Linked DNA regions of Anolis sagrei. The protein of the gene in region 2 purifies or fractionates together with the protein of the main gene of each other region. This does not show direct contact. Links are inferred from orthologs where the notes say so. Each region holds a gene or a part of one and is shown on either strand. Other genes may lie near its edges.

Region 1 (11,066 bases), on a different chromosome or scaffold from region 2:
GCTTTGAATAGCATAGGGGTTAGTTAACACCCTTGTGGAGTTTGTTTTGCTGTCTGTGCCCCTGTTCAGAAGATTTCATCTCACTTTATGTCCCTGTGATATTTGGATTTTGAAACATTTGGCTAGTTGTGGAAACAAGGATTGGTGAGAAAGCTTCAGTTGAGACACCCTTTCCTCCATGATAAGTCTTTCAGGAGTGAATTTCCCTTCCAAGGGGTAGATTAGATTTCTCTCACTTCCTGCTGTCTTTTGTAAGCTGAATGTTTGTAATTCGGGGACTGCCTGTAGTCCAAAAAAGTAAACTCAGGAGTAGGGCAACACATGGTACCTATACTTCAGGGTCAGAAGGAGAAAGTGAGCTGAAGCACTAGCAGAAAGAGGGCATTCTCACTTTGAATAAGGAAATGGGATTTTCAACTGTGCATTTCGGAGGAAACATATGAATAAATTCTTTGTAGTGTACTTTGTATAACAGATTTATATGTATTTTGTATTTTTTTTAAAAATAATGCTTTAAAAATGCATCAAATGTTGAACAAATACTAAAGAATTTTGCAATCATAGCCTGCGTTGGCACATCATAGGATGCATGGAAAGTTTGGGGAAACGCATATCTGTCTAATTTGATGCATAGTTTGTACTGTGGTTAACTAAGGGACCATATACATATGCTGTAAAATCCAGGATGATGTGGATTATTGGAGGGGAGGGGACTAGACCTGGCTGTGGGCGCAAGCCTTTGGGGCAATGCAGTGAGGCAATAATAGAATGGTGTCCTGAGATGGTTTTAAAGCAACTTATTTTAAAGTGGATATAAGTGATTTTAATGTTTGTATACATTTATGGTTTTATGTTCCGGCATTGAATGTTTGCTGTATATACGAGTGTACTCCACACTGAGTCCCCTGCGGGGTGAGAAGGCCGGAATATAAATGTTTCAAATAAATAAAAATAAATAGAAAACACAAGCTCCTAATGTGTGCTGCAGAGCACATCCAAACAAAAAACACGTGCTTTAAAAAGTCAGGAGAAAGTCCGAAATCAGTGATAAAATGTACTGTAGCTTTATTGTGTCAGAAGTGATTTGAGATTAAATGCAAGTAGTTTCTGGTGTGAGAGAATTGGCCATCTGCAATGACGTTGCCCAGGGGACGCCTGGATGTGTTACCATCCTGTGGGAGGCTTCAGTCATGTCCATGCATGGGAAGCTGGAGCTGACAGACAAGAGCTCACCTCACTCCCCGGATTCGAACCGTGGACCTTCAGTTCAGCAGTTCAGCTGGAACAAGGGTTTAACCCATTGCATCACTACGGTTCACTGCAGTTGATCAGTGAATGGATGTGGCAGAGCAAACATTCTAGAGCAACATGCGCAGCACTTATGTAAACAGAAGCACTACTGGAAAATTCAAATGAAGGAACTGGATATGATGCTCTCAGTGAGGTAAATGAACACCTCTCCCCCCCCCCCCTTTTTTTTTTTTTTTTAGCTAAAAGGTGAGTTCTACTTCTGATTCTCATCCAAAGAGCTGCTGCAATTGGTTCATTTCTTCCAACCAGGTAAGGGGAAAAAAATATTCCTCTTGATCAATTTGGTACGAGGGGAGCCTTGTGACTATGTGGGAACTTTTTTGCGGTTCCTGAAGGTCCATGTGGAGACTGGATTTCTTTAATCCACATTCTGATCCTTCTTGACCTCATTTCCGAAGATTTTCTCTTTCACAAATAATCGGCTCCATCCCTATATCACCCCATGTTTTTAGTTTTTAGCTTTAGTATTTTATTCTGTACATTCGGCCCATTCACTGTCACTGTCACAATCACTGCGTTATGATTGATTTTAATTTTAAATTGTTTGTTGTATTTTTATGTTTCATGTAATTTATCACGTTATTGTGTGTGTTTTGACATCATTTATTGTATTGTGTTGTTGGGCTTGGCCTCATGTAAGCCGCTCCGAGTCCCCATCAGGGAGATGGTGGCGGGGTATAAATAAAGTTGATTATTATTATTATTATTATTATTATTATTATTACTATTACTATTACTATTAGTATGTGGCTGAATAGAAGCAGCCTGAGAGCCTACTGGATTCAGAATGCTGGATAAAGGATATAAATTGAAGCCTCTGGTGGTTCAGTGGGTTAAACTGCTGAGCTGCTGAACTTGCTGACCAAAAGGTCAGCGGGTTGAATCTGGGGAGCTGGGTGAATTTTCACTGTTAGCCCCAGCTTCTGCCAACTTAGCAGTTCAAAAACATGCAAATGTGAATAGAGCAATATGTTTGGCAGAAAGGTAACTGCATTCCTTAGAAATGGAGATGAGTACTACCCCCCAGAGTTAGACATGACAGAATTAATGTCAAGCAGTAACCTTTACCTTTAAACTGGACATACACAGTTGTTTTTGAGGTTACAGTGTTCCCTCATTTATCGCGGGAGTTATGTTTCAGGACCACCCGCAAAAAGTGAAAATCTGCAAGATAGGGATGCGCTATATATATCTATATATATCGCATTCTGAGGGTGAGGTAGAAGCAAGGAGAGATTTAAAGGAACCGCACACTTCTTTTTTTCTTTTTTCTTTGTTAGCTATAAGGGGCTATAAGGCCGTGCCTCTCTCTCTTTTTTTATGATTGGCTGTCTCTCCCCCGAGGGGGAGGGTGAAACCGCCTTCCACACTCCATCGTTGCCAGGAGGCAAAAACCCGCAAAACAGTGAGTCCACAAAAAAGCGAACCACAAAGTAGCGAGGGAACACTACTTTGTGTTATATTGTGCTACAGGGATTTAAAAAACAAAAAACAAAAAACAAACAAAGGCTGAAACACTGCACAAAATTTAGATATTTTTGGTTGTGGCCCCTCTAATGGCATCACCTGACTCAGTCCACACACTCTTTATGCTACACATGGCTCCACTCTGAACAACAAGGATGCCAGGCAACCGCCCATGAGACAGTGGGTTGTATTCTAAATCAAACATATTAGATGTTGAGGCAAGGAGAGGTAAAGTCCAGCTTTTGGGGTGTCAACTGTTAGACTGTAGCTCCTATTAGATATCAGTTAGACCTTAAGGTGCACCTTAAGCCTCAGAAGACGTATCCAGGGTGGTGTCTGTTGGTATCTACGGATGCATCTCCATTGAAGAATGAATGCAGTTTGACACCACTTTGACTGCCATGGTGGTGGAAGCCGCGGTGGTGCAATGGGTTAACCCAGGCATGGGCAAATTTCGGCCCTCCAGGTGTTGTGGACTTCCACTCCCACAATTCTTAACAGCCTAATGGCTGCTAGGAATTGTAGGAGTTGGGAGTCCAAAACACCTGGAGGACCCTAGTTTGCCCATGCTGCTAGGAATTGTGGGAGTTGAAATCTGGCTGAACTGCTGACCTGAAGACGAGCTCCTGTCTGTCAGCTCCAGCTTCCCATGCGAGGACCTGAGAGAAGCCTCCCACAGGATGGTAACACATCTGGGCGTCCCCTGAGCAACATCTCTGCTGACATGAAAAGCAACTTGCAGTTTCTCAAGTCGCTTATGATATGATTTTGAAAATCTGCCATTGCTTGATGCTAAGAGATGGCAGTAGTTTTACAGTGATTAGCCTTCTCTGCCGAAGAGTGCTTGTACTTCATCAAACTGCAACTCCCAGGATTCCATAGCATGGAGCCATGGCTGTTAACGGTGGCATTAAACTGCATTAATCCTACAGTTTTGATCAGGCATGGGGACACTTGGTCCTCCAGGTGTTTTGGACTCCAACTCCCACAATTCCTAACAGCTGGTTTTTCCGGGCTGTATGGCTATGTTCCAGAAGCATTCTCACCTGACATTTCGCCTGCATCTATGGCAGGCATCCTCAGAGGTTGTGAGGTCTGTTGGAAACTAAGGAAATTGGGTTTATATATCTGTGGAATGTCCAGGGTGGGAGATAGAACTCTTGTCTGATTGAGACAACTGTGAATGTTGCAATTGGCCATCTTGATTCGCACTGAATAGCTTTGCAACTTCAAAGCCTGGCTGCTTCCTGCCTGGGTGAATCCCAACTTTTGGGAGTTAGAGTCCAAAACACCTGGAGGGCCCACGTTTGCCCATGCCTGGTTTAGATACACCCTAAGGCTTTGGCACCTTCAAAGATGCACCAAAACAAATTCTCCCAAGTCACTGCTGCCACCAACCGCAGCAGCGTTTGTAAGAAGATCCCATTGGATCGATCACCCTCTCTCTCAGCTCTGCGGGCGGAAGGCGAAGAAAGGGAGCATTTGGTGCAGTCTGCACCGCACTTCCTGCTCCGCGATCGATCCCTGCCGCTGCCGGCCACACCCCGGATCAGGGAGGAAGGCTTCGGGTTACCTCTCTCTATCTCTCTTGTCTCTCTCTTTCAATGGGCGCGTCTACACTGTCCACTGAATACAGCCTGGCACTACTTTGACTGCCTTGGCTCAGTGCTACGGAATCTTGGGAGTTGTAGTTTACCAAGGCCTCTTCAGCCTTCTCTGCCAAACTACAGATCCCATGATTCCATAGCATTGAGCCATGGCAGTTAAAGGGAATGTCAAACAAACTGCGTTCATTCTACAGTGTTATCAGCTCCAAGTCTCTTAAAAACAGACTTGGGACAAGAGTAAATCAAGTTAGATTTTTTTTAGATTCTAGGAAACAGGAGCCATGCTGTATTATCGAAGACTTTCATGGCCGGAATCACTGAGTTGCTGTGTTTTCCGGGCTGTATGGCCATGGCCCAGAAGCATTCTCTTCTGACGTTTCGCCTACATCTGTGGAAGGCTCAGAGGCTGTGAGGTCTGTTGGAAACTAAGAAAATTGGGTTTGTATATCTCTGCAATGTCCAGGGTGGGAGAAATAACTCTTGTCTGTTTGAGGCAGGTGTGAATGTTGTAATTGGCCACCTTGATTAGCATTTAATGGCCTAGCAGTTTCAAGGTCTGGCTTCTTCCTGCCTGGGGGAATCCTTTGTTGGGAGGTGATTAGCTGGCCCTGATTGTTTCTTATTTCAATAAAAATGACAATAACTGAAAGGCACTGCAGACTGATTGAACCAGAGAAGCCAACCATAGCAGAACACTTGATGAACCAACCTGGACACAACATAGTATCTGAGAACACTGAATTGCTGAACCACTGTAACAACCACCATGTCAGGCCACACAGAGAAGCCACTGAAATCCACAAGCATGAGGACAATTTCAACAGAAAAGAGGACACCATGAATATGAACAAAATCTGGCTACCGGTATTTAAAAAAACTCTAAAATAGGACAGTAAATAAAGAACACTAAGAAAATAGGGGAATTCCATACAGGAAACAATCAAGGCCAGTTAACACCTCCCAACAAAGGATTCCCCCAGGCAAGAAGCGGCCAGGCTTTGAAGCTGCAAGGCTATTCAGTGCTAATCAAAGTGGCCAGTTGCAACATCCACAGTAGCCTCAATCAGGCAAGAGTTCTTTCTCCCACCCTGGACATTCCAAAGAGATACAAACCTGGTTTCCAACAGACCTCACAACCTCTGAGGATGCCTGACATAGATGCAGGCGAAACGTCAGGAGAGAATGCTTCTGGGACATAGCCATACAGCCCTCAAAACTCACAACAACCCAGGAGCTACGCTGCCACCGTGGTTGGAGTCGAGAGTGCTGGGTGCGAATCCTGGCTCAGCAAGTCACACTCTCTCAGCCCCGGGCTCTGTGCTAATTCGCGTGCCAAGCGTATGCTGACGCTGCAGGGAGTGGAGGGAAAGGAAGGCAATGCTTTTCCGAAGGGGGAAAAGTGATCCACGTGTCAAGGTGGATCTTCCCCTTCTTCTCACGCTCTCCTGCGAGTCTTCCGTCAAGGTTGAAACGAATGCTGAACTGCCACACTGCCCAAGGCTATGGAATCCTGGGAGTTGTAGTCCCACAAGGTCTCCAGCCTTCTCTGCCCAAGAGTGCTGGTGCCTCACTACAACTCCGAGGAAGTGATGCCAAACTGCATTCGTTCCACAGTGTAGATCTCCCCCTTTCCTGGCTCAAAAGCTTAGATCTCCCCCCTTTACCTGGTTTGGCCGGTTTAGGCGGCGGCTTGGACATAGCTGGGTCGGATCGGCGAGCCTTCCAAGCCTTTTGGATGTGGGTCGATCGAGCTTGCTTCCTCCTGCAGGGATCGCCTCGCCCACCGCCCCGAAAGGCTCACAAGTTACTTTTCGCGAAGATGAGGAAGTGGGAAGCGTCGCCACTGCGAAGCAGATGCTGCTCGCTGCGCCCCCAGTGGCCGCTCTTGGGCACCGCAGGCATTGGGAAAGACTCTTGCCCAGGGCAGCTCTCCCGACTTAGCGCCCAGCCAATCCCGAATAGGGGGCGTGGCGACACCCTCGGACTTGAGAGACTTGGCCTATGGGAGTGGGTGTATTTACATATGCTCCGCCCCTTTCCTGGGAGTGGGAGACCGATGGTGCTTCTGTAACGGGTTAGAGGAGGAAGGGGCGGGGCTTGAATATACCCTATTTGCATAGAACGTCCTCGCATCGTGCCTTGCTTCTCTATTGGGGTGTAGGAGAAAGGGGCGGAGCTTATATGTAGCAAATTTGCATAGGACTGCCCACCTCCCCTTTCCTTGGTGGGCGGGGTCGACGGTGCTTTCTCTAACGGGGTTGGAGAAGAAGGGGGCGTGGCTTGTGAGTGACAGGCAGAGGAGACCCTGGTGTCTTTATTGTGGTTTTTTGCACTTTTTGTTCGAAGAAGGAAGGTAAGTGGGTGCAGTTCTTGGATTGCTTTGATGTTTGCTGGTTGCATAAGAGCTTTGCTCTAAAAGATAATGGTAATATTTTGAAATAGGTCGTGTAGATGGACTAGGGATTCATCTACACTCTAGAATTAATGCAGTTTAATCCCAGTTTAATTGCTATGGCTCAATTCTGGAGCTCTGGGGGTTTTATTTTTGCAAGGCTCTTCAACATCCCTGACAAAGCACTCTAAGCCCCACCAATTTACAACTCCCAGGATTCCATAGCATTGAACTATGTCAGATAAAATGGTGTCAAACTGCATTAATTCTCTAGTTTATATAGGTTCTAGAGTATAGATATCTATAGTATAGATAGCCCCTGGTGGCACAGTGGGTTAAACTGCTGAGCTGCTAAATTTGTTGACCGAAAGGTTGCAGGTTCGAATGCGGGGAGCGGCGTGAGCTTCCGCTGTCAGCCCCAGCTTCTGCCAACCTAGCAGTTTGAAAACATGCAAATGTGAGTAGATAGATAGGTATCGCTCCAGCAGGAAGGTAACGGTGCTCCAGGCAGTCATGCTGGCCACATGACCTTGGTGGTGTCTACGGACAACGCCAGCTCTTCGGCTTAGGAGATGAGCACCAACCCCCAGAGCCGGACACGACTGGACTTAATGTCAGGGGAAAACCTTTACCTTTACCTATAGTATAGATACACCCTAATAACTAGTGAATCTACTGTGGCCTTTTTAAAAGTGTGGTAAGGATTGGGCTACCTCATGATGTTGAATTGCCACAGGACCCTACACAAGAAAGCTATAATTGTAATTTGTAACAAAGCATTGTCTTAAATTGTGTATCAATATAATTTGGTCATAACTCAGTGGAAGTCATAAATGGCATTTTTATTCTATTTATTTTGTGATGGTCCTTTTGAAATATTTCATAGTTAAAGAAGAATCAAACTCAATGTCTATAACAGACAAAGGTACAGAATATAACTCCAGGGTGTCTTTTCATTGTATGTAATGGCAAAACCATCCCTGAGTATTCCTTGCCAAAGAAAGCTCTGTGAAATTAATAGGATCGTCATAAGTCAAGAGGGGACTTGAAGGCACATACACACAATGTCCCTCTTTAGTGTTTGCTAGTTTGTCTTGGCTTTCTGCTCTGGTGACTGAAACTTTTAAATTGCACCAGAATTTACGTAACAGAGTCCAGAGGCTTTTATCTTTTGGTTGATAAATAGCTCAGCAGCAACTCTTTCACTAGTGCAGTGGTTCTCAACCTGTGGGTCCCCAGATGTTTTGGCCTTCAGCTCCCAGAAATCCTAACATCTGGTAAACTGGCTGGTATTTCTGGGAGTTGTAGGCCAAAACACCTGGGGACCCACAGGTTGAGAACCACTGCCCTAGTGAATTACATTTATATTTCTCATTTCGGTTATATTAATATTTTTCATTTGCACTAATAGTTTGCATCTGTATCTAAACAACACGTTCCACATTGTAGAATTAATGCAGTTTGACATTACTTGAACTGCTATGACTCAATGCTATGGAATCACGGGGATTGTAGTTTGCTGAGGTCCCAGCACTCTTTGCCAGAGAAAGCTAAAGATCTTGTGAAAGTACAATTTCCATGACTCCATTGCATTGAACCATGGCAGTTCATGTGGGGGCAAACTGCATTAATCATACAGTGTAGATACACTCACAGATGTGGGCCCTGAAATGTTTAGTAATAAAATGTATGATATCACAACAAGTACATGTGCTGCATACCTTGTCCCTAGTATACTCTATGTCTGTGATACTTCAATAACTATTGGGGTGTGTGTGCCATATTTTATGTGTAATGCTTGTTTAAATAATGCCTTACTGAGCTGCTTCTATTTTGTAATCCGGGCAACCTACAATGTAAAATGGTTTGTATATTTCGATTTCTGATGGTGAACCTCCTATAAATGAAGGCTTTGTGTTAGTTTAAGATTCGGCAGACATGGCACAGGGTGGGAGAAAAAGGCTTTTGCAAATACACGGGCAACAAAGAAACTTGCAAATAGATATAACCTTCCCAGCAAATATTTACAAGTGGGATTTTTGGATATGAATTACATATTATGTCTAATTTTACTTTACTTTTGCAGTCTATCAAAAATAGATTGTGGAAAAAAAATATTTGTTCCTAACACACAATCCTCTCAATTTAATTTTTTAGATTAAAAAGGAACTATGAAAATCTTGGTCATTGGACTTGGAGGGTGAGTGTGAACATAATCTACAATACTGCTTTCCTTTATATGCTAAGTTTTTATCAATAATTGAATGTGGGGTATATTTTTTCCCATCTTTTTTCACTTTATTTTTTCAACCTACATCATATCCTGTATCTCTTATCCTCAGACATGGATAAGAGCTACCAGACTGCTATCTGGCCTCTCTTATCTATGTCCGATTTATTTATATAGATTTTTCCATAAAGCGTTTTATTCCAAAAGATTCCAAAGTGTATTGTTGAAAGCTTTCATGGCTGGAATCACTGGGTTGTTGTTGGTTTTTTTGGGCTATATGGCCATGTTCTAGAGGCATTATCTCCTGATCTTTCACCTGCATCTATGGCAGGCATCTTCAGAGGTTGTGAGGTCAGACCTCAGGAGAGAATGCCTCTAGAACAGTGATTCTCAACCTGGGGTCTGACCTCACAACCTCTGAAGATTCTCAACCTGGGGTCCCCAGATGTTTTTGGCCTTCAACTCCCCGAAATCCTAACAGCTGGTAAACTGGCTGGGATTTCTGGGAGTTGTAGGTCAAAAACATCTGGGGACCCCAGATTGAGAACCACTGCTCTAGAACATGGCCATATAGCCCAAAAAAACCTACAACAACCCAGAAATTCCAAAGTGATTTACAATGTGCCACAAAACAAAAGAAAATCAAGCAAGGAAACCATAAAATAATGTAAGAATGCTGGGGTCTGACCCTATCAGGCAATACGGTAATAGGATTCTGGATTACCAATAGGAAATAAAACCATATCCATGAAAGCATAACATACATTGTTTATTGACTGTTCATGTTTGGCATATGAAAATAAGATACACATGATAAACCCAGCAAAAAAATGTATATGTGCCTGAATTTATGAGCACTCAAACCCTGATGGTTACTGTAGTACTGGTTCTCAAGATTCACCAGGATGTTGTTCCAGGTGCCAAATTATGTGGGTAGACAGTGCAATTGCCTTCCTCAGAGAAAAATCGAATACTCTTGCTAAAGTCTTATGTAGATCTCACACTATGCGCTTAATGCAGACTAGGAAATAAATTGCTTTTCAAGGGAGGGCAAGGCATCATTATCATGGACACGAAAAGGCCAATAATAGTAGCATATTTTATTGAATCCCTTATAGTCACAGGCAGACTTAGGCCCAATCTACAATGTTGTTTCAAACCGGTATTGAAGAAACTGGTTTCACTGTGCAGATGATTCCATAGGAAAGCCTGGAACTAGTTTGAGGTCCAGATGGTGATAATGAAGGAGCAGCAATTTAGTGGCATGAGCACTTCAAATGCACAAGCTTAGGAGTCCCCTCAACGGCTCAATGTTACTATGCAAGGAAATACTATGAGGAAACCATAAGTTTGATTCTTACTACAAAGGCTGTTACATAAACCACAGAGCACTGATGCACATTAAGGACTTTATTTTGCATGCTTTTGTGGGAGTTAGTTGCCTGGCTGCCGCAGTTGGAAGCTATCTTCGAACTGCATTAAATTGTCATGTATGTGGGACAATTGGAGATCAGGAAAATGGAGATCAGGAAAATGTCTGAACAAACAAGTCTTCAAGTTGCATGATTGGCAATGTCTATTGGACACTTCCCTTGTATTAGTGGAAGAATTCGTATAATGAGGCCACAACAGAAAAGGCCTCCATTGTATTGTAACTAAAAGAATGTCACTTGCCTGTGATACATTAAATAAAATTTTCCCACCACTCCAAAGCAGAGAAACTGTGATAGTATATGTGGAAGAAGGTGGCCCCTCAGCTAACCTTCTCCTGAGCCTTTTAGAGCCTTATAAACAAAGAGTTGTCTCTTGAATTTGACTAAGTAGCCAGTATAGGGTTTTTAGTATACTGTAGTATTGATTACCTATTGTATAATGCACTAGTTATAGCCTTCAAGGTAAGCGCATGGGTAGCCCTGTATTATGTTATGATAGTAATCCAATCTTGAGGTTGGCAGTGTATGAATGATATCTGACAGCTTGAACCTGTCTAGGAATGGTTATAGCAGCATACCAGCAAAGCACCAAGGCTATTTTATTGGAGGATAGTGATTTCACCCAT
Region 2 (11,066 bases):
GGCAGGGCACAGCTAGTACACTATAAATATACAGAAGCCAGACAGAGAGAAAATGAAGAAAAGGAAGGGGGAAAAAATGAAAAGAAAAGGACGGACAAGGAGAAGGACAGAAACCATATATTAGTCGACCAAAGAGGCGGAGAAATAGAAAGATGAAGGAAGAGGAAAGGAAAGAAAAGGAAAAGACCTCCCTGAAGAAGAATCCTGGAAGTCAAGCGGATTGAAGAACGAAACATCTTGAATCTTTTCTTTTAACTGTCACTTTTACTACACTCATATATCCTTTTCCCTCTCTTCTTATTCTTTTTTTATCCTACCTACACGGCCTCACACCCTTCCCCTTCCCCTCCCCCCTCTCCCCTTCTTCCCTTCTTCTTTCTACCTCTGAACTTCCCCCCCCCCACCCCAATATCTCAATTGTTTGTATATATATGAAAATTGCAATAAATATATTTGAAAAAAAAGAGAGAGAGAGACTAGGACTCCATGGAACAATGGGTTCAAATTACCAGAAAGGAGATTCCACCTGAACACTAGGAAGAACTTCCTCACTGTTCAACAGAGGAACTTTCTGCCTTGGAGTGTGGTAGAAGCTCCCTGGAGTGTGGTAGAAGATGGAATGGCCCTCTGTTGGGGGTGCTTTGATTGTGCTTTCCCTGCATGGCAGATGGGGGTTGGACTGGATGACCTCCAAGGTCTCTTCTAAAACCGAAACGTGCAAACACTAACGTTTGATGTCTGAGTCGGGACACACACATAACGAGAGGCTGTCAACAATGGTGCTGCTGGGATGGAAAGACAAATCCAAGTGGACAGTAAATAAATACATTATTTCCAATGGAATTTAAAATCATGGATGTAAAATTAAATGATTCAGAATGTAATGAAAATAGAATGCAAGAAGCTGAAGAGAGATGGAAGCAGGTCAAGAATTATAATATGAATAAGTCTAGAGATCAGGGCATAAGAAATAGAAGACAAATGTTATACAGTATGTAAATCCAGAAGAATTGTCTCCAAAGGGATTAATATGTGAAAGAAAATAATCCTTGGGGTGGTGGTGGTGGGAATTGTAACGGTTGTGTTTGTGTGTGTCCTAAAATTAATTAATTAATTATATATATAGAGAGAGAGAGAGAGAGAGAGGTTGCTTACCTGTAAACATAGTTTCCCGAGTGGTAGCCTGTGAATTCACACATCCCCGCCCATACACACACACACACACACACACACACTAGCTGTCCCCTGCTACGCATTGCTGTGGTCCAGTCTGTGTATATGTTTTGTGTGTGTGTATATATTGTTGTTGTTCATTCGTTCAGTCGTCTCCGACTCTTCGTGACCTCATGTGTATATATATATATGTGTTTATGTGTGTGTATATATTTGTGTATGAGTGTATATATGTGTGTTTGCATAGATAGATAGATAGATAGATAGATAGATAGATAGATGGGTGTATATGTGTGTGTGTGCATATGTGTGTATACGTGTGTATATATTCGTGTATTTTTGTGTTTATATGTGTATATGTATATTGAGTATATGTGTGTGATTGTGTATATATATGTGTGTATGTATGTCTATATGTGAAAAAAAGTAATCCTTGTTGTTGTGGTGGTGGGAATTGTAACGGTTGTGTTTGTGTGTGTCCTAAAATTATATACACACACACACACACACACTAGCTGTCCCCTGCCACGCATTGCTGTGGTCCAGTCTGTGTATATGTTTTGTGTGTGTATATATATATGTGTGTTTATGTGTGTGTATATATTTGTGTATGAGTGTATATATGTGTGTTTGCATAGATAGATAGATAGATAGATAGATAGATAGATAGGTGTATATGTGTGTGTGTGCATATGTGTGTATACGTGTGTATATATTCGTGTATTTTTGTGTTTATATGTGTATATGTATATTGAGTATATGTGTGTGATTGTGTATATATATGTGTGTATGTATGTCTATATGTGTATGTGTGTATATGTATGTGTATATTTGTGTATGCTGGTGTATATATATGTGTGTGTATGTCTGTCTGTACGTATGTATGTGTGCATATGTATATGAATATGAGTGTATGTGTATATGTATATGTAGTTTATTTTGGGGGGTTTAAAGTCCGTTCTGCTGGGTATTTTGTGTGTTTTTAGGGGTGATGGACACTCATTGGCCTGATAGGTGTATTGTGTCCAAATTTGGTGTCAATTCATCCAGTGGTTTTTGAGTTATGTTAATCCCACAAACAAACATTACATTTATTGATTTATTTATTTATATTTATATTTATATATACACACACACACTAGCCGTTCCCTGCCACGCGTTGCTGTGGCCCACTCTGGTGGTCACGGGGGTTCTGTGTGGGAGGTTTGGCACAATTCTATCGTTGGTGGGGTTCAGAATGCTCTGTGGTTCTAGGTGAACTATAAATCCCAGCAACTGCAAATCCCAAATGTCGAGATTCTATTTTCCAGTGTTCACATTTGGGCATATTGAGTATTCATGTAGAGTTTGGTCCAGGTCCATCATTGTTTGAGTCCACAGTGCTCTCTGGATGTAGGTGAACTATAACTCCCAAACTCAAGGTCAATGCCCACCAAACCCTTCTAGTGTTTCTGTTGGTCATGGGAGTCCTGTGTGTCTATCTATGGCTGGATGGCTCTTTGTCAGGAGGGCTCTGATTACATTTTCTTTCCCTGGTGAAGAGAGTTGGACTGTTGGTCATGGGGGTTCTGTGTGGGAAATTTGCTCCAATTCTATCGTTGGTGAGACTCAGAATTGTAGGTGAACTATAAATCCCAGTTACTACAAATCCCAAATGTCAAGGTCTATTTTCCCCAAACTCCATCTGTGTTCATATTTGGGCATATGGAATATTTGTGCCAGTTTTGGTCCAGATCCATCATTGTTTGAGTCCACAGTTCTCTCTGGATGTAGGTGAACTACAACTCCCAAACTCAAGGTCAATGCCCACCAAACCCTTCCAGTATTTTCTGTTGGTCATGGGAGTTCTGTGTGCCAAGTTTGGTTCAATTCCATCCTTGGTGAAGTTCAGAATACTAGGACGCGGAACAATGGCTTCAAACTACAAGAGAGGAGATTCCATCTGAACATGAGGAAGAACTTCCTGACTGTGAGAGCCGTTCAGCAGTGGAACTCTCTGCCCCGGAGTGTGGCGGAGGCTCCTTCTTTGGAAGCTTTTAAGCAGAGGCTGGATGGCCATCTGTCAGGGGTGATTTGAATGCAATATTCCTGCTTCTTGGCAGAATGGGGTTGGACTGGATGGCCCATGAGGTCTCTTCCAACTCTTTGAGTCTATGATTCTATGATTGTTTGAGTCCACAGTGCTCTCTGGATGTAGGTGAACTACAACTCCCAAACTCAAGGTCAATGCCCACCAAACCCTTCCAGTATTTTCTGTTGGTCATGGGAGTTCTGTGTGCCAAGTTTGGTTCAATTCCATCCTTGGTGAAGTTCAGAATACTAGGACGCGGAACAATGGCTTCAAACTACAAGAGAGGAGATTCCATCTGAACATGAGGAAGAACTTCCTGACTGTGAGAGCCGTTCAGCAGTGGAACTCTCTGCCCCAGAGTGTGGTGGAGGCTCCTTCTTTGGAAGCTTTTAAACAGAGGCTGGATGGCCATTTGTCAGGGATGATTTGAATGCAATATTCCTGCTTCTTGGCAGGGGGTTGGACTGGATGGCCCATGAGGTCTCTTCCAACTCTTTGATTCTATGATTCTATGATTGTTTGAGTCCACAGCGCTCTCTGGATGTAGGTGAACTACAACTCCCAAACTCAAGGTCAATGCCCACCAAACCCTTCCAGTATTTTCTGTTGGTCATGGGAGTTCTGTGTGCCAAGTTTGGTTCAATTCCATCATTGGTGGAGTTCAGAATGCTCTGTGATTGTAAGTGAACTATAAATCCCAGCAACTGCAAATCCCAAATGTCGAGATTCTATTTTCCAGTGTTCACATTTGGGCATATTGAGTATTCATGTAGAGTTTGGTCCAGGTCCATCATTGTTTGAGTCCACAGTGCTCTCTGGATGTAGGTGAACTACAACTCCCAAACTCAAGGTCAATGCCCACCAAACCCTTCTAGTGTTTCTGTTGGTCATGGGAGTCCTGTGTGCCAAGTTTGGTTCAATTCCATCATTGGTGGAGTTCAGAATACTCTGTGATTGTAAGTGAACTATAAATCCCAGCAACTGCAAATCCCAAATGTCGAGATTCTATTTTCCAGTGTTCACATTTGGGCATATTGAGTATTCATGTAGAGTTTGGTCCAGGTCCGTCATTGTTTGAGTCCACAATGCTCTCTGGATGTAGGTGAACTACAACTCCCAAACTCAAGGTCAATGCCCACCAAACCCTTCCAGTATTTTCTGTTGGTCGTGGGAGTTCTGCGTGCCAAGTTTGGCTCAATTCCATCATTGGTGGAGTTCAGAATACTCTGTGATTGTAGGTGAACTATAAATCCCAGCAACTACAACTCCCAGAGGACAAAATCATAATTTTTTGAGTGATGGTCACTCCTTGTGTTGTGAGACATTTTGTTGCCAAATTTGGTGTGATTTCGTTCATTGGTTCTTTTGTTTTTAAGGCACTCATTATGCACAGAGCATCTATCTATCTATCTATCTACCTACCTACCTACCTACCTACCTACCTACCTACCTACCTACCTACCTACCTATCTATCTATCTATCTATCTATCTATCTATCTATCTATCTATCTATCTATCTATCTATCTATCTATCTATCTATCTATCTATCTATCTATCTATCTATCTATCTATCTATCTATCTATCTAATAGATTCTAAAGCACGGGGTGTCAGGGCGCTGCGATGGCGGTCCGTGGCCACCAGGGGCCGCTGCCGGGCAACCCAGTCTCGCCTATGCTGCGCCGAGGGGGCGTGGCCACTCCCTATCCCCGCCCACTTGGCCACGCCCCCTTTTCATCCTCCTCCTCCTCCTCTCGCTCTTTGCCTCAGAGGGAGCCGGAGGGGCGGCGGGAGAGAGAGAGAGAGGGAAAGATCGCCATCCATCCTTCCGTCCATCCAGCCATGGTGAGTGTTGAGGCCTACGCTGGAGTAGGGAAGCGGGAAGGAAGGGAGGACGGGTGAGAGTATGGTAGCTGGGTCGGGAAGCTCCGAGCGTTACGCACATTCCGCAACGGCGGTTGTGAATAAGGGAAGGGGAGAGCGGCAGGCCTGCCGCTCTCCCCTTCCCTTATTCACAACCGCCGTTGCGGAATGTGCGTAACGCTCGGCGCTTCCCGACCCAGCTACCATACTCTCACCCATCTCCTAGGATCCAGTTCAAACTGAGCTCAAACCACAAGGCCTACTAAACCTGACAGGATCAGGAACATCATATCTATATACACAAAAATGTGTAATGTTGGTTTGTGGGATTAACACAACTCAAAAACCACTGGATGAATTGCTCCCAAATTTGGACACAAGACACCTAACACCCCAATGTATGTCCTCCACTCAAAAAGAATTGATTTTGTCATTTGGGAGTTGTAGTTGCTGGGATGTATAGTTCACCTACAATCAAAGAGCATTCTGAACTCCACCAATGATGGAATTGAACCAAACATGGCATACAGAACTCCCACGACCAATAGAAAAAACTGGAAGGGTTTGGTGGGCAGTGTCCTTTGGTTTTGGAGTTGTAGTTCACCTACATCCACAGAGCACTGTGGACTCAAACAATGATGGAATTGGATCAAACTCTACACGAATACTCAATATGCCCAAATGGGAACACTGGTGGAGTTTGGGGAAAATAGAATCTTGACATTTGGGAGTTGTAGTTGCTGGGATTTGTAGTTCACCTATAAACAAACAGCATTCTGAACCCCAACCGGGGCATACAGGACTCCCATGACCAACAGAAACACTAGAAGGGTTTGGTGGGCATTGACCTTGGGTTTGGGAGTTGTAGTTCACCTATATCCAAAGACTACCATGGACTCAAACAACGATGGATCTGGACCAAACTTGGCACGAATATTCCATATGCCCAAATATGAACACAGATGGAGTTTGGGGGGAAATAGACCTTGCCATTTGTAGTTACTGGGATTCGCAGTTTACCTACAATCAAAGAGCATTCTGAACCCCACGAATGACAGAATCGGGGCAAAATTCCCACACAGAATCCCCCGTGACCAATCGGGGCACACAGGACTCCCATGACCAACAGAAACACTAGAAGGGTTTGGCAAGCATTGACCTTGAGTTTGGGAGTTGTAGTTCACCTACATCCAGAGACAACCATGGACTCAAACAACGATGGATCTGGACCAAACTTGGCACGAATATTACGTATGCCCAAATATGAACACAGATGGAGTTTGGGGGGAAATAGACCATTTGTAGTTACTGGGATTCGCAGTTCACCTACAATCAAAGAGCATTCTGAACCCCACGAACAACAGAATTCGGGCAAACTTCCCACACAGAATCCCCCATGACCAACAGAAAATGTTTAAGGCCATCCAGTCCAATTCCCTTCACCAGGGAAAGAAAATGTAATCAAAGCCCTCCTGACAAAGAGCCATCCAGCCATAGATATAGATAGATAGATATGATTCACACACAGAGAGATATAGATTTGAAAGGGACCCCTAAAGAAGGACAATGATATGTTGCATGTTCCAGAGTACGCAAACCAGACCATCTCCACATCAACACTGACAAACAAACAACAAGAAATACTGTTTACCCACAAGCATAAGGAAATTATATATATTAGAAGCCAACACTTTCTCATTACTTTATTTTCCAGATCACCAGGCTGGGCCACAGCAACGTGTGGCAGGGCACGGCTAGTCTATATAAATAAAAATGTAATGTTCATTTGTGGGATTAACACAACTCAAAAACCACTGGACGAATTGACACCAAGTTTGGACACAAGACACCAATTGGACGAATGAGTGACCATCACTCATAAAAACACTGAAAAACACAGCAGAAGAGACTTAGAAAGCCAAAACAAACAAAAATGCATTACAACGCATATGCAAAACCACATATATACAGAAATCACACATATATACAAATACACACACAAAACGTATATACACAGACTGAGCCACAGCAACGTGTGGCAGGGGACGGCTAGTAAACGTAATAATGGCGTCGCTAATTTGGGCCCAAGGAATGGAGCAACAAGAGGGGGCTTGCCCTCAAATGTCCCACTTGGCCCGCTTTCGGGCTCCTCTTTGCACCCAAATGGCACAGGTTGGCGCACCCTCCTCCTCCCAGGTTTCCATATTGTGCTTCCAGTCTTTTTTCTCTACTTTATGGCAGACAAGTCTTGCGATACATGTCAAACAATCCTGAAACATTGGAAGGCTATGATTTCAGCACCTTTTCAGGCTGGGGACCCCCCAGGGGTGGATGGAGCATCCCTCTGAAAAGATGGCCAGGCTGACCCCAAGTTGCCAACATGAGAGGCTCACTCGGTTTGCACTTATGTAAGTCAGAACATGGACATGTTATCAGTGTAACCCCACTTACTTACTTACTTACTTGTCTAAGTAGAATAATCCTCCAGGGTGGATCCGTAGGTGACCGTGGAGCCCTATTCTTGATCTGCATCTTCTCCCTCAGTGAGGGCATCGGTTTCCAGGTGGAAGGCGGTCCCGGTCGGGGTTGGCTTGACGTGCCTTCCTCTTGGCACGTTTTTCTCTTTCGCACTCCATTCGTGTCTCTTCAAATTCTGCAGCACTGCTGGTCACAGCTGACCTCCAGCTGGAGTGCTCAAGGGCCAGGGCTTCCCAGGTCTCAGTGTCTATGCTGAAGGTTTTAAGGTTGGCTTTGAGCCCATCTTTCAGTCTCTTTTCCTGCCCACCAACATTCCGTTTTCCGTTCTTGAGTTTGGAGTACAGCAACTGCTTTGGGAGACGGTGGTTGGGCATTCGGACAACATGGCCAGTCCAGCGGAGTTGATGGCGGAGGACCATCACTTCAGTGCTGGTGGTCTTCGCTTCTTCCAGCACGCTGACATTTGTCCGCTTGTCTTCCCAAGAGATTTGCAGGATTTTCCGGAGGCAGCGCTGATGGAATCGTTCCAGGAGTTGCATGTGACGTCTGTAGACAGTCCATGTCTCGTAGGCGTATAGCAGGGTTGGGAGGACAATAACTTTATAAACAAGCACCTTGGTATCCCTACAGATGTCCCGGTCCTCAAACACTCCCTGCTTCATTCGGAAAAATGCTGCATTCACAGAGCTCAGGCGGTGTTGTATTTCGGTGTCGATGTTGACTTTGGTGGAGAGGTGGCTGCCCAGGTAGCGGAAATGGTCAACATTTTCTAATGTTACACCATTAAGCTATATCTCTGGCATTGGAGAGGGATTGGCCGGTGACTGCTGGAAGAGCAATTTGGTTTTCTTGATGTTCAATGACAGGCCAAGCTTCTCGTATGCTTCTGCAAAGGTATTTAGAGTGATTTGTAGGTCTTCTTCTGAATGCGCACAGATGACATTGTCATCAGCATACTGGAGTTCTATAATAGATGTTGTTGTAACCTTGGTTTTGGCTTTCAGTCTGCTGAGGTTAAATAGCTTCTGTCCGATAGATGATTTCCACTCTGGTGGGAAGCTTCTCATCAACAAGATGAAGTATCATAGTGATGAAGATGGAAAATAAGGTTGGGGCAATAACACATCCCTGTTTGACACCTGATTCCACCTTAAATGGGTCCCTTTGGGAGCCATTGCTGTCCCAGACTGATGCCATCATGTCATCATGGAGGAGCCGCAGGATGTTCACAAATTTGTTATCTACCTATCTATCTATCTATCTTTAAGCTTTGGATCTCCTAGGAGTGACCGCCCCGGTGGGGTTTCCTTTGCTGCCAGTGCTCCTGTTTGGAGGAAGGATTCCACCTCACTTTCTGTCCCTGCAAGAATGGGTTTTTGAACATTTTGGCTTGTTGTGCACACAGATTGGGGGTGAAGCTCCAGTGGAAGTGAGGTTCCTATCACTTCCGATTCTTCTTCACAGTGAGTTGTTTGTAAGTCAGATGTTTGTAACTTGGGAAGGCCTATATTTATATATAATAAATACTATATAATTATATCATACTAGCTGTCCCCTGCCAGGCGTTGCTGTGGCCCAGTCTGGTGATCTGGAAAATAAAGTAATGAGAAAGTGTTGGTTTCTAATATAAGTAATTTCTTTGTGCTTGTGGGTAAACAGTATTTATTGTTGTTTCTTTGTCAGTGTTGATGTGGAGAGTGTCTAGTTTGCCTACTCTGGAACATGCAACATATCATTGTCCTTCTCTAGGAGTCCCTTTCAAATCTATGATGCTATATCTGTGTGTGTGTGTGAATCATATCTATCTATCTATATCTATATCTATGGCTGGATGGCTCTTTGTCAGGAGAGCTCTGATTACATTTTCTTTCCCTGGTGAAGAGTTGGACTGTTGGTCATGGGGGTTCTGTGTGGAAAATTTGCCCCAATTCTGTCGTTTGTGTTATTCAGAATTGTAGGTGAACTATAAATCCCAGTAACTACAAATCCCAAATGTCAAGGTCTATTTCCCCCAAACTCCATCTGTGTTCATATTTGGCCATTTGGAATATTTGTGCCAAGTTTGGTCCAGCTCCATCATTGTTTGAGTCCACAGTGCTCTCTGGATGTAGGTGAACTACAACTCCCAAACTCAAGGTCAAAGCCCACCAAACCCTTCTCGTGTTTTCTGTTGGTCATGGGAGTCCTGTGTGCTAAGTTTGGTTCAATTCCATCGTTGGTGGAGTTCAGAATGCTCTTTGATTGTAGGTGAACTATAAATCCTAGCAACTACAAATCCCAAATGTCAAGGTCTATTTCCCCCAAACTCCATCTGTGTTCATATTTGGGCATATGGAATATTTGTGCCAAGTTTGGTCCAGATCCATCATTGTTTGAGTCCACAGTGCTCTCTGGATGTAGGTGAACTACAACTCCTAAACTCAAGGTCAATGCCCACCAAACCCTTCTAGTGTTTTCTGTTGGTCATGGGAGTCCTGTGTGCCATGTTTGGTTCAATGCCATAATTGGTGGAGTTCAGGATTCTCTTTGATTGTAGGTGAACTATAAATCCCAGCAACTACAACTCCCAAGTGACAAAATCAATTTTTTTGAGTGAAGGACATACATTGGGGTGTTAGGTGTCTTGTGTCTAAATTTAGTGTCAATTTGTCCAGTGGTTTTTGAGTTATGTTAATCCCACAAACGAACATTACATTTTTATTTATATAGATAATATAATAATGATGCTAATAATATATGACATTCCTCTCACTTCCTGTTGTCTCAGCCCTGTTGTTCTTAACTAGGAGTCATTTGCAAGTTGGGTGTTTGTAACTCAGGATTGGCCTTTATATATACAAAATAGTAATATAATAATAATAATAATAATAATAATATGATCTTACAAGAATAATACAAATCATATACTATATATACTCGAGTATAAGCCTAGTTTTTCAGCTTCTTTTTTAGGGTGAAAAAGCTCCCCTCGGCTTGTACTCGAGTCAAGGTTATTTATTATTTTATCATGATTTCTATTACATTTATTATTTTCTCTATTTAATATTATTATTACATTTACATTATTTTACTCTTATTATTTTGTTTACATTTTTATTTTACTCTTATTTATTGTTACTTTTTCATTTGTTATTTTTCTCTAGTCATGTTTTTATTACATCTATTATATTACTCTATTATTATTGCTATTACATTTATTATTTTACTCTTATTGTTACATTTACATTATTTTACTCTATTATTGTTGTTATTACATTTATTATTTCACTCCATGAATTATTGTTATTACGTTTATTATTTTACTCCATGTATTGTTATTATTACATTTACTATTTTACTCTATTTTTATCATTACATTTGTTATTTTACTCTATTATAACTGTTATTATTACATTTCCATTATTTTACTCTATTATTATTATTTATACTACATTTATTATTTAGTATATTATTAATATATAATTATTATATTTAGTATAT

Evidence for each region. Proteins that work in one complex are often made in the same cells at the same time.
Region 1: the proteins of MYO1E (region 2) and OSTF1 purify together in Homo sapiens (co-immunoprecipitation; 3 studies listed by BioGRID and IntAct, counting the BioPlex papers as one, with this or other methods). This does not show direct contact. The link is inferred for Anolis sagrei from reciprocal best matches to the Homo sapiens genes MYO1E and OSTF1.

The regions. Positions count from the first base shown.
Region 1 is NC_090022.1:224,608,824-224,619,889, reverse strand, and holds the start of OSTF1 (osteoclast-stimulating factor 1), read right to left. Parts: upstream 6,315-11,066; 5' UTR 6,084-6,314; coding exon 6,050-6,083; intron 1-6,049. Other genes in the region: NMRK1 (nicotinamide riboside kinase 1), read left to right, coding at 8,949-8,977.
Region 2 is NC_090029.1:12,002,203-12,013,268, forward strand, and holds the start of MYO1E (unconventional myosin-Ie), read left to right. Parts: upstream 1-4,975; 5' UTR 4,976-5,087; coding exon 5,088-5,090; intron 5,091-11,066. UniProt on the Homo sapiens protein: Actin-based motor molecule with ATPase activity. Unconventional myosins serve in intracellular movements. Their highly divergent tails bind to membranous compartments, which are then moved relative to actin filaments.